3 linked regions of the Canis lupus familiaris genome follow. The protein of the gene in region 1 interacts with the protein of each later gene in a pairwise test. Links are inferred from orthologs where the notes say so. Each region holds a gene or a part of one and is shown in the gene's direction. Other genes may lie near its edges.

Region 1 (4,227 bases):
GGGCAAGTGCTCCTCACTGTAGTGGAAGGAAAAATGGGGTGCAGTGAGAGAGAGCCCCCGACCACCACTTTGTGGAGGCAGAAACTGGAGGGCCTCGGGGTTCAGATGCCTACCTGTCCAGGGCCCCACAGCCAACCCAACAGCAGCCCGGGCCTCGGGCAGCTTACCCCCAACCTTCACTTGGCCTGTGACTGTTCACTATGGGCTGTGGAACACTCTGTGTCCTGACGTCCATTCTGGGTGGCCACCCCTCGCCCCGCCTGTCGGCTCCTCACCTTTTCCTTGCGACAGGTGGTAAACAAAGCAGCCCTGGCGCCCAAGCGGTGACCCGGGTTGGGCTCCGGGTCCTGGACCTGCACCCGCACCCGCACCCGCACCCGCACCCGCACCGTGGGGCTGTGCCCCAGACGCGGGGGCTGGCTCTCAGGAATCCCGGGGAGATGTGCCAGAGGGGTCTGCCCGGGGCCGCTGGGGACACCGGGGCACTCAGGGTGTGTAGCGAACTGCGGAGGGAGGGGTCAGGCGGGGGGGGGGCTCTGGGGATAAATGGAGGGGCAACTGGAGCTACGTGGGCCATCAAGGTCGCCTAGGATATCCGGAAGGGGAATCGGGGGGTGCCGGGGCCACAGCGGGGGCAGGCCGTCTTCTTTCAGGACATCTGGCGGAATCGGGGTCCCTCTGGCTACCGTGCGGGAAGAGTTTGGAATCTGGGGTTATGTGGGGGCGGTCGGAGCCCTGCAGAGACAGTCCCAGAGTGTCGGGAAGTGTCCAGGAATATTTCGATCAGCTAGCTATGTCCCGGGATTTCGTGGGGGCAGGCGGGGATCTACGGGCATTCCCATGACGGTCGGGGGTCGCGGGAGTCGAGACCGGCAGCGGGCGACCTCCGGAACTATGAGGGAATGGTCGGGGGGCTCGGAAGATCTTAGGGGCATTCTAGGTCTTCGGACGTCGTGGAGCGTAGGGGGTTCGCCGAGGCTCGGGCGGGCACTGACTTGTTCTTTCCACCCGCGCAGGCCACGGCCCTCCCCTGCCCGCGGGCCCCAGAGCCCGGCAGCTCCTGGCGCGGCTGGACGCGCGCCCCCTGGCGGCCCGGGCTGCGGCCGACGTGGCGGCGCTGGTACGCAGGACAGGTGCCACATTGCGCCTGCGCCCGAAGGCGGGTGCGTGTCAGGGGCGGGGCGGGGCCTCCGGGGGGCGGGGTCTGAGTGGAGCCAGCTCCTGAAGTGGCAGGCCCGGGTTGGTTAGTTACTCCCCTGGGCGGTGCCAGTGGGCGGGGCTGGCGGCGGGGCGGGACTCGGAGGCAGCTTCGCGGGGGCGGAGCCTTGGCGTCATCCTAGAATATTTCTCCCGGAGGTGACCCAGGGAAGGTTATTGCGGTAGGCGAATGTTGCATGGTTAGTCGTGGGTGCGAGGCTGGATGGTTATCCCTGTCAGTGGGGCTTCGAATGGCATTTCTGAAGAGGTGGGGCCTGCAGGGTGTTGGGGGCGGGCAGTCGGCTGAGGGCCGTGCCTGGAAAGGAGTCCACCCTAGAGGGGGGTGGAGTCTATAAACGCGAGGGGGCGGGATTCGAAGCGTCAGGAATGGGTTGAAGTTTATAGGCTAACTAGAGGGCGGAGCCTGGGAAATTCAGGAGCCCAATCTGGCCTTGCGCCGTCGTCCGGGGACGACCTAAGGGTGTAAGATGAGGAGCGGGATCTTCGTGTTATTAGAGGACTGTAGGAGTGTCTGGAGGTGCCTTCAATAGCCGGGCCCAGGATTCGTTAAGATGGCGGGTTCTGGGTAGTTGTGTGACAGCTGGAGAATTGCGCACTGCCTAGGTACTGAAATTGTGGTCGAGTCTGGACGTGAGTTGGAAGAGCTGAGGCTAGAATGTAAATTTAGGGGCTTGTGCCAATGTTAGCAAAGTCAGGGGCCCCTGACTGGCTTAGTCCGTTAACTCAGCTCATGCATGATCCTAGGGTCCTGAGATCAAGACCCGCGTGGGCCTCCCTGCTCTGCGGGGAGCCTTCTCCCTCTCTCCCCGTTTTTGGTCTCTGTTATCTCTCAAATAAAATTTTTTAAAACAGTGGAGGCGCCTGGGTGACTTAGATGTTGGGCGTCTGCCTTCACCTCAGGTCATTATCTCTTTCTTGGGATCCAGCTCCCCTGCAGGGCTCCCTGCTCAGCAGGTACTGTGCTTCTCTTCCTCCTGCTTATTCTCTCTCAAATGGATTAATAAAATATTTTTTTTAAAAAAAGGTAAGTCACCGACAGCTTTCTTAGCCTCTTCCTTACACTAACTAGCCTTTAGCATGCTGTAATTGTAAGGACAATTATGTCTTAGTCGCTTGTCCCAAGACCCTCTTGTCTCTCTTTGCCTCTCACAGACTTCCTAGTGTGACAAATACAGAAAAATGTGAAAAACCTGTGGATACTTCTGGTGAGCTTGAATGGCGCTGGAGACTTCCTTAGTGAATTTTGGGGGCACAGATTGGGGGAAAGGGTGGCAGAGGAGGATGGGAGCTGGAGGAGTGTAATCAACAGGGCCAGGTTGAGAATCTCACACTGGCCCTGAGTCAATATTGTATGTCTCTTCATTTACTTATGTCTTTTTTAAGATTTTATTTATTCACTCATGAAAGACACAGAGAGGCAGAGACACAGGCAGAGAGAGAAGCAGGCTCCCCGTGGAGAGCCAATGTGGGGACTTGGTCCCAGGACCCTGGGATCATGACCTGACCTAAGCCAAAGGCAGATGCTCAAACACTGCGCCACCCAGGAGTCCCTACTTAGGTCTTTAAAAATTTTTTTCAACAATATTTTGTAGTTTTCGCAACACAATTTCTACAGTTCTTCTTTTAAATATATTCCTGGGTATCTTATTTTGAGGCTACTGTAAATGGAATTATTTTCTTAATTTCATCTTTATTTTGTCTATAGAAACACAATGGATTTTTGCATATCGATCTTCTATCCTGTAACCTTGCCAAAACTTTTTTAAAATTCTAATACCCACTAAGGAGGGAAAAATCAACTGAGTAAATGTGAAGATTTCTTATTTATTTTAAAAGGTTTTATTTATTCATGAGAGACGCAGAGACATAGAGGGAGAAGCAGGCTCCCTGCGGGGAGCCCGAACTGGGACTGGATCCCAGGACCCCAGGATCTGATCTGAGCCAAAGGCGGACACTGAGCCACCCAGGTGTCCCTAATTGGTTTTATTAAGCAACTCATGAACTGGTGAGCATCCCATCTAAGAAGTAGAGAGGTCTGAGATGAGGTAAACAAAATAGAAGGTCTTTTTTTTTGAAAGATTTTTTCATTTTAGGGAGAGTGCACAGGACAGAGGGAGGGGTTGGCAGAAAAGGAAAGAAGCAGACTGCTCGCTGAGCATGGAGGACCCTGAGATCATGACCTGAGCCAAATTGAGAGTCTAACACTTAAGCGACTGAGCAACCCGGGCACCCTAAAGTGGAAGGTTTTTATAGGAAGGAAGATAGGGCAAGAAATCATTAGCAAAAGAAAAGGAAGTACTATTTCAGGCAAGGTCGCTTCTGCTTATGGAAAGGTGGGGCAAGGGAGTTCTTATCATCCAGATTACCTGATCTTCCTTTGGGGAATGAGAGGGCCCCAGGTGAAGATTACCTCTTTGGTGCAGGCCAGAAAATTCCAGATTAATTGGTTTAAAATTCCATTCCTGAAAAGGTTGAAATTACAATTAATTCTTGGTTTATTGCCCTGAGGGCAAGTGACTCCACCTAGAGCCTGTGGCTTTCTTTTTAACACTCCTAATAATTCCAAAGGAATTATACCAAAATTCTGATGTGCTTCCAATAATAAAACAAAGGAATACTCACCAAACATACTAGTACTAAGGGAAACAAGTACTCAACAAAAAAAGATTGTCTTTATACAGATCCTGAATAAAGTTGGAAAACTCAATCAAAGGGAAGGAGTTCAGAATCCTAGAAGAGACTCATCAAACTGGAAATAGACCGCGACTTGTGAAAGTGATGAGTGCAAGAGGCTCCATGCGGGTACCTCCCTTGATTCCCTGAATCATCATTCTTTGGAGGTCATCTCCTTTGGATCCCACCTCTGACTCCCAGGAATGTCAGCCTAAATAGAGAGGTAAACTGGGGCAAGCTCACGATAATGAGCTTATTTGGGATAGCAGAGGAATTGGAATTTGGGACTCATCTGTAGCTTGCTACAGTTTGGGTGTCCAGAATTGCAATTTCTCT
Region 2 (4,427 bases), on another chromosome or scaffold:
TCCATCTAGTCCAGTACCTTCTGTTGAGGCATTTGGAAACTTCTAGCAATCTTCTGCTTCAGAAGAGCACCCAGACCTGTCAGATTTCAGCACTGAAGTTGCAAGCACGTTAGCTCTAGCCACTTTCTTGTTCCTCTTTTCAGATTAATTTATCCATTCCAACTTATTATTAACTTCCAGTTAATTCAAACATTTTTTAAAAATTTTTATTTATTTATGATAGTCACAGAGAGAGAGAGAGAGAGGCAGAGACATAGGCAGAGGGAGAAGCAGGCTCCATGCACCGGGAGCCCGACGTGGGATTCGATCCTGGGTCTCCAGAATCGCGCCCCGGGCCAAAGGCAGGCGCCAAACCGCTGCGCCACCCAGGGATCCCATTTTTTTTTTAAACATTTTTTTAAATTTTTATTTATTTATGATAGTCACAGAGAGAGAGAGAGAGAGAGGCAGAGACATAGGCAGAGGGAGAAGCAGGCTCCATGCACCAGGAGCCCGATGTGGGATTCGATCCTGGGTCTCCAGAATCGAACTTCCAGTTAATTCAATAACAATTGATATAAAAAACAAAAATCAATTAACATGTGTAAAACTGAGAGAATTTCCTGAAAGAGGTGACATTCCCAACAGATTTCTCTTTTATGCACAAAGGATGGGGGGCGGGGGGGGGGAGATTGGGGGAAAATGTGCCAGAAAAGAACAACCTTAGCAAAGGCCCACAGGAAACAGGGATCATGGGTTATAGAAGAGGAAGAGAGCTGAAGTCAGAAGAGTTGATGGAGCCAAAATCTGTAAGCTTTGTAGGCCATGCTACGAAGTTGAGAGTGTATTGTGAAGATAGTAGACTAATGTGGTATACATTTTGTTATAGAGCATCCTTTTTTTTTTTTTTTTTTTTTTTTTAAGAATGTACTCATTTATTCATGAGAAACACACAGAGAGAGGCAGAGACTCAGACAGAGGGAGAAGCAGGGTTCTCACGGGGAGCCCGACATGGGACTTGATCCCTGCACCCGGGATCACGCCCTGAGCCGAATGCAGATGCCCAACCGCTGAGCCGCTCAGGCGTCCCTCTGAGTATTTTTAAGGGGGATAATTGGAGGGGGAACCTGCAGGTGGGCATACCAGCGAGGAGACTGGGTGCGATAGTCTGGCCTGGGCAGGGAGGCCAGGGGGATAGAAAAGCAATAAAGGGACACCCTGATGTCGTACTAGGGCAACTAAATGGATGAGCACGTGGCAGGGCTGAAGGCGGTGCGTGTGGAAGGGACTAAATGCACAGAGAATTGGGTCGGCTGAGATTAGCGAACGACGTCTGATTTACAGACCCAGCCTCCCAACCTCTCCAGGATTTAAGCGCCTTTCCTAAAACGCTAGGACTACCTCCGGGCCGCCAGGAGGCGCTGTAGCCTCCAGGGTCTCTCTAGGCTCGTTCCCGTCGGCTCGCTGTCGGAGGCGGCCTCAACGGGGGGGGAGGGGAGAGGGCAAGACGTGCGCGTGCGCTCTCCGGCCGGCAGGGGGCGCGCGTGCGCGGTCGGGGCCGGGGGCGCGCGCAGGCCGGCACCGGAAGTGTGCGGTTGCCATGTAATATCCTGGCCGCGCGGGCGCGCGAGGGGCCTGAGGCGGCGCCGGGGCGGGCGCGGAGCTGGCGAGAGCGCGGTGGAGGCAGCGCCGACGGGGCCCGCTGAGGCGCGCGGGGTATCGGCGGCGCCCGGGAGCCTGTCGCTTGCGCGGTCCCTCCGGTTCGCTGGGTCCGGGCGGGAGCCCCTACGGCGGGAGGCAGCATGTCGGTGGCGGGGCTGAAGAAGCAGTTCTACAAGGCGAGCCAGGTGAGCGGCGGCCGAGGCGGGGGAGCTGGCGCCGCGCCCCCAGGCTGTGCGGAGTCGGGGACCCGGCCAGGCCCGACGGGGCTCGTGAGGGGGCCGCCGGCTCCGGAGGCGCGGCGTTGGCGCGCGGCGTCCGCTGAGGGGGTCTCCCACCCGCGAGGGACGGGGGCTGCCGACGAGGCGGCTCACGGGCCCGCCCGCCATGTGGGCTCGGGTCTCCCCGGGAGGGTGGGCAGACCCCGGGGAGGGGCGGCGGCGCCCCGGGACGCGGACCCGGGACGCGGACCCGGACGCCGTCGCCTTCCCTCGCGGAGACGGGCCCGGAGCGGGCGAGGAAGACACTGCCCTGAGGCTGTCGACACAGGACTCCTGCCAGAGAGCCCGGGGGCAGGGAAACTTGGCGTCCGCAGTCGTTCTCCAAAACAAACAAACGAAAACCCCTTTTGATGGACCCGCTACAAAGTTGGGAAAGGGTGGAGGGGAAAGCCCCGCTTCCGCCTCCAGTCCCCCGGGGCATCCAGCCCCTCTCCCCAGGGGCAAGGACCGGCATCTTTTCCGAAGATCGGTTACACCTTTCCTAGAAAAACGCACACGCACACGCACACGGTGGTACCGTGGCCTGTGTAGCCCTTTGTACTTCGGCTTTTTCGGTTTTCCGTTCCATGTGTTCGGAGATAATGCTAGAGCTGGAATTCTCCGCCTCAGACCGCGCTGTCCTGGGCACTGTGGGGGCGATGAGGGGCATCCCTGGCCCCACCCGCTTGATGCCAGGAGCACCCCCCCCCCCCAATCCTGACACCACACATACCTCCCCCTGCTACCAAACGTCCCCTTCTGCCCCCACCCCAGAGCCACTGCCCTGGAGCATACCCCTAGAGTCTCTTTGATCTTCTTTTCTTTTTTAAGATTTTATTTATTTATTCATGAGAGACACACACAGAGAGAGAGAGAGACACAGGCAGAGGGAGAAGCAGGCTCCATGCGGGGAGCCCGATGTGGGACTTGATCCCAGGACTCGCAATCACACCCTGAGCTGAAGGCTCGCCAAACCGCTGATCCCCCCATCCCCTCTCTTTGATCTTCTTAATGGGTGTTGATATTCCAGTCATCTTTGGGGGATTGGTTAAATTTTGACCAGTCATCTGTTGATGTATGTGTGGATCGTTTCCTGTCAGTTTGTGCTACACACAATGAATAGCCAGTGAATATCTTTGCTCAGAGGTGGGATTGGGTTTATAGGATAAATTCCCAGAAGGAGAATGCTGAATCCGAGAGTATGTATGTTTTTAGACGTGACAAGTAAGTATAGGGTGGTTTTTTGTTGTTTTTTGTTTTGTTTTTTTGGAATGTCCCGGCCCCATTGCTCAAGAATCTGGTGAAAGCTGTGGATCCACTCTCCAGAAAGCTGGAGCAAGTGGGAGATTCAGTTTATAGTTTCAGATCCACGAAGCCCCAGATTTCTTGAATCCTCTTGATCCCCGCATCCCAGATTAAGAACCGTAGGTGGGCACTTTGTGTGGATAGAATCCGTGAAGGAATGAGCGACCATCTTAGGGATTGTGTGGGCCCTGCTGGCAAACTGGGCTTTTCCCACAATTTGGAAAAGTTCAGTAGGAGAGAAGAGAAATAAGTCGACAGTAACTCAGCTGGAACCTTTTGCCCCTTGATGGAAAAAGTCATGACCCCACGCTAGTGTTTATCTAGGGCAAACCCCAGATGATGGCTAACCCCTAGAGGAAGAAACACTTAATCCGGGGGGGTTCTGGCATTATTGCTGAGAGTACAGCCCTTTGTCCCAGCAGGGTAGAATTAAGTGACCTGGCCCTGGGTTGGACCCTGCCCAACAGGCATCAGACCACCAGGGCTTGACCAGAGCAACTGGGGATGGTGCTTGCTGTCTTGGACCTTGATGTAGTCCCTCCTGCAGGAGAAGCCCCCTCCTCCCAACCCCTAGCTCTCAAGGCCCATGCTGGAGGGCCATACTGTCCCAAGCAGGCACACTCTGCTAGAGGAACTGGCTAGGCTGCTCAGACTGGCCACCAGAGCTTTTTCTTGAGGGGGCAGTGGTAGGGGGTGCCCTGCATTCAAATCTGTGAGGGAATGGAAAACACTGTGTAGTATAAGCTGCTGGTTCTGATCAATTTGTGATCTCGCCATTCTGAGGCCCATCTCAAAGAATTGCTGCGATGGCCACATCCTACTCTGGGAGCGGCTGTTTTGGACTCTTGATAAATCCTCTGCTGAGTTGTGCTCTCAAGAATCATGCTGGCTGTGCTCCACTCTCTTCTGCAATAGTTTCCACAGGCCCCCAGCATCTCTGTTGTTTATCCAAACGTGTCCATCTCTTTGTGTGATTCTTTTCTTATCCTCAGTACACCCATTTTCATCCTTTTGTCCTCAGAGTAGGGTTGGCTGTTGAAAAGTATAAGGCAGTAGTTAACGTCTGTTGAACTCTCACCTTGTGGACAGGCAGTATGCTTTTAGCCACTGGTCTCATTTATCTGCCATAAGGATAAACATACTATTCTTTTTACACAAAATGATGTGGGGACATTTAGTATATGTGCTGCCGAAGCGAGCACAATGTGGGGACATTTATATCTT
Region 3 (2,333 bases), on another chromosome or scaffold:
GGCCCAGATTGAGGAATATATCCTTTATGCAGGGTGTGGGGTCTGGGGGTTTCTGGGGGAGTCTGAGGCCAGCCAGGCCCGGCTTCCCCTGATGGCCACAACCCCAGTGCCCTTGCCAGGCAGTGGGTCAGTTGGGTGGGCTCCCCCCTTGACCAGGAGGGCCCTCTCTGGACTGATGCTGCCCGTCGGGGGGGCCTGGGTCACCAGGGCTCTGAGCCTGGGGCTGGGCCTCGGCCAGGGTTGGGTCGGGTGGGGCCCTCCCTCTGCAGCCCCTCCACTCGCTGCCAGGTGTGGGGGGCACACTGAGCTGCCAGGCTCCCACCAGGAGGCCCTCGCTGGCCTCCTGCGCTGGCCCCGGGGTGAGTGGAAGGCAGCAGTATTGGCCTCCGGATAGGTCCTTAAACACCTGCACGCATCTTCCGGGACGTGGGGAACACGGACATGAAGTACAAAAACCGTGTGCGGAGCCGCATCTCCAACCTCAAGGACGCTAAGAACCCTGACCTGCGGCGGAACGTGCTGTGTGGGGTCATAACCCCCCAGCAGATCGCGGTGATGACGTCGGAGGTGAGTCCTGCTGCAGGGGCGTGGGGGCCACCGCTGTGGGCAGCGGGTAAGGACACTGCTCCTCGCCCAGGAGATGGCCAGCGATGAGCTGAAGGAGATCCGGAAGGCGATGACCAAGGAAGCCATCCGAGAGCACCAGATGGCCCGCACGGGGGGCACCCAGACAGACCTGTTCACCTGCGGGAGGTGCAGGAGGAAGAACTGTACCTACACACAGGTGGGCGCCCCAGCGACCTCACGCACCCGGAGCCTGCACCTGCGCGCGGTGCTGTGGGGCGGGGTCCACACCTGCACCTGCACACGTGCCTAGTGAGTGGTGCCCGGGCTCCTCCTCCCTTGCCCCGCAGCCCTGGGCCCCAGGAAGCAGTGTCTCAGGTGGTGCTTTGCTTTGGGAGCTATAAGGGGGGGGCCGGCCTCACCCAGCATGGAGGGCCCAAGCAGGAGGGTGGGGGCAGTGTGCTGCCTGCAGTGGCCTCAAGACTGTGCTCAGACCCGTGGATGTGGACACGGATGTGGACCTCGAGATGTGCCAGGGGTCCCCGGTGAGGAGAGGAGGTGTGGGGTCCCCCGGGGGGTCGAGGGGCTACAATGCCAGCGTTGCCCGAGGATACGGATGGTCTCCTCACACTGTGACTCTCGGGAAGACCTGCTCCAAGTGACTGAGCCCCTGGGGCCCGGGTGGCCCCCCCTCACCGCAGCCCTCCCCGCAGGTGCAGACCCGAAGCTCTGATGAGCCCATGACCACCTTCGTTGTCTGCAACGAGTGTGGAAATCGCTGGAAGGTAGGTGGGCGTCTCCAGCCTGTGGGGTCTTCGTGATGTGAAACGGGGGGCAGCCCTGCCTCCGGGCCCGCGGGGGTCCCAGGGGTCTTGGGTTGACGCCTCTCATCCGTCTGCTGCAGTTCTGCTGAGCCCTGCTCGAGATGTGTGCGAAGCTTCGGGCTGTGGCCAGCACATTGCCGCGGCCTTCCCCGCGTCCTGTCGACAGACACAGCTTCTCGAGACCCGCCCTGAGCCCACCCGAGCACCCCACGGGGCTGTGCCCCCGGCACCCCCGCCTGGCGTATACCTCTTTTCTTTTCCCCAAATTATTAAATGTTTCTTTTTGCCATCGTGCTGTCCTGGCCCTTGGCTCTGGTGGACCAGCAGTCCTGGGCTGTGAGCTGGGTCCCCCAAGCCCCACGTCCGGCCCTGCCCCCTTCCCTGGGACCACTCTCCTCCTGGGGATCAGGTGACACTTGGGCTTGGCCCTGATGGAACAGAGATGGAGGGAAGAGCCCACTGGCCCTGAGAGGGGCCCTGGGATTCCAGAACCCCGGGGGCAGCCTGGCCGCACGCAGGGGCACGCACAGACACGGGGTCGGGGAGGTGGCCTTCAGCACACGGGACCCCAGGGCTCACGACCTCCCCAGGCCCTGTAGCTCAGGGGTCCCCCAGCCATCCATGGCGACCTGTCCCCACCCTGACTCTGTGCCTGACGGTGGACTGGGTGGGGTGGGCCCCGCACCCGCTGCAGCTTTGAGTTGCTTCACCTCCCAGAAATTCAGGTAATGGGTGGCAAGCACGAGCCTCGAGGAGGCCAGGAGGACGCCCCCATGCGTCCTCACGGGGGCCAAGCCCCTTCTGGGGCTGCTCCTGGATCTGGGACGGTTGTTCTTTCTTGAGTCTCCCCCCAAATGTGGAAAGAAAGGAGAGACGTTTGCTTTAAAAATATCTTCAATAATAAGATCCTATTTTGGATGAAGAAGGAATGGAGATAAATATGAA

The links.
Region 2: the proteins of G-patch domain and KOW motifs-containing protein-like (region 1) and SH3GL1 interact in binary tests that used the Homo sapiens proteins (3 or more experiments, as listed by UniProt). The two-hybrid records come from large-scale screens. The link is inferred for Canis lupus familiaris from reciprocal best matches to the Homo sapiens genes GPKOW and SH3GL1.
Region 3: the proteins of G-patch domain and KOW motifs-containing protein-like (region 1) and TCEA2 interact in binary tests that used the Homo sapiens proteins (3 or more experiments, as listed by UniProt). The two-hybrid records come from large-scale screens. The link is inferred for Canis lupus familiaris from reciprocal best matches to the Homo sapiens genes GPKOW and TCEA2.

Annotation. Positions count from the first base shown.
Region 1 is NC_049260.1:42,469,059-42,473,285, reverse strand, and holds the start of G-patch domain and KOW motifs-containing protein-like, read left to right. Parts: upstream 1-1,283; 5' UTR 1,284-1,397; intron 1,398-4,227. UniProt on the Homo sapiens protein: RNA-binding protein involved in pre-mRNA splicing. As a component of the minor spliceosome, involved in the splicing of U12-type introns in pre-mRNAs.
Region 2 is NC_049241.1:55,677,257-55,681,683, forward strand, and holds the start of SH3GL1 (endophilin-A2), read left to right. Parts: upstream 1-1,623; 5' UTR 1,624-1,781; coding exon 1,782-1,826; intron 1,827-4,427. UniProt on the Homo sapiens protein: Implicated in endocytosis. May recruit other proteins to membranes with high curvature.
Region 3 is NC_049245.1:48,357,679-48,360,011, forward strand, and holds the end of TCEA2 (transcription elongation factor A protein 2), read left to right. Parts: coding exon 1-17; intron 18-412; coding exon 413-567; intron 568-637; coding exon 638-784; intron 785-1,277; coding exon 1,278-1,349; intron 1,350-1,468; coding exon 1,469-1,477; 3' UTR 1,478-1,708; downstream 1,709-2,333. UniProt on the Homo sapiens protein: Necessary for efficient RNA polymerase II transcription elongation past template-encoded arresting sites.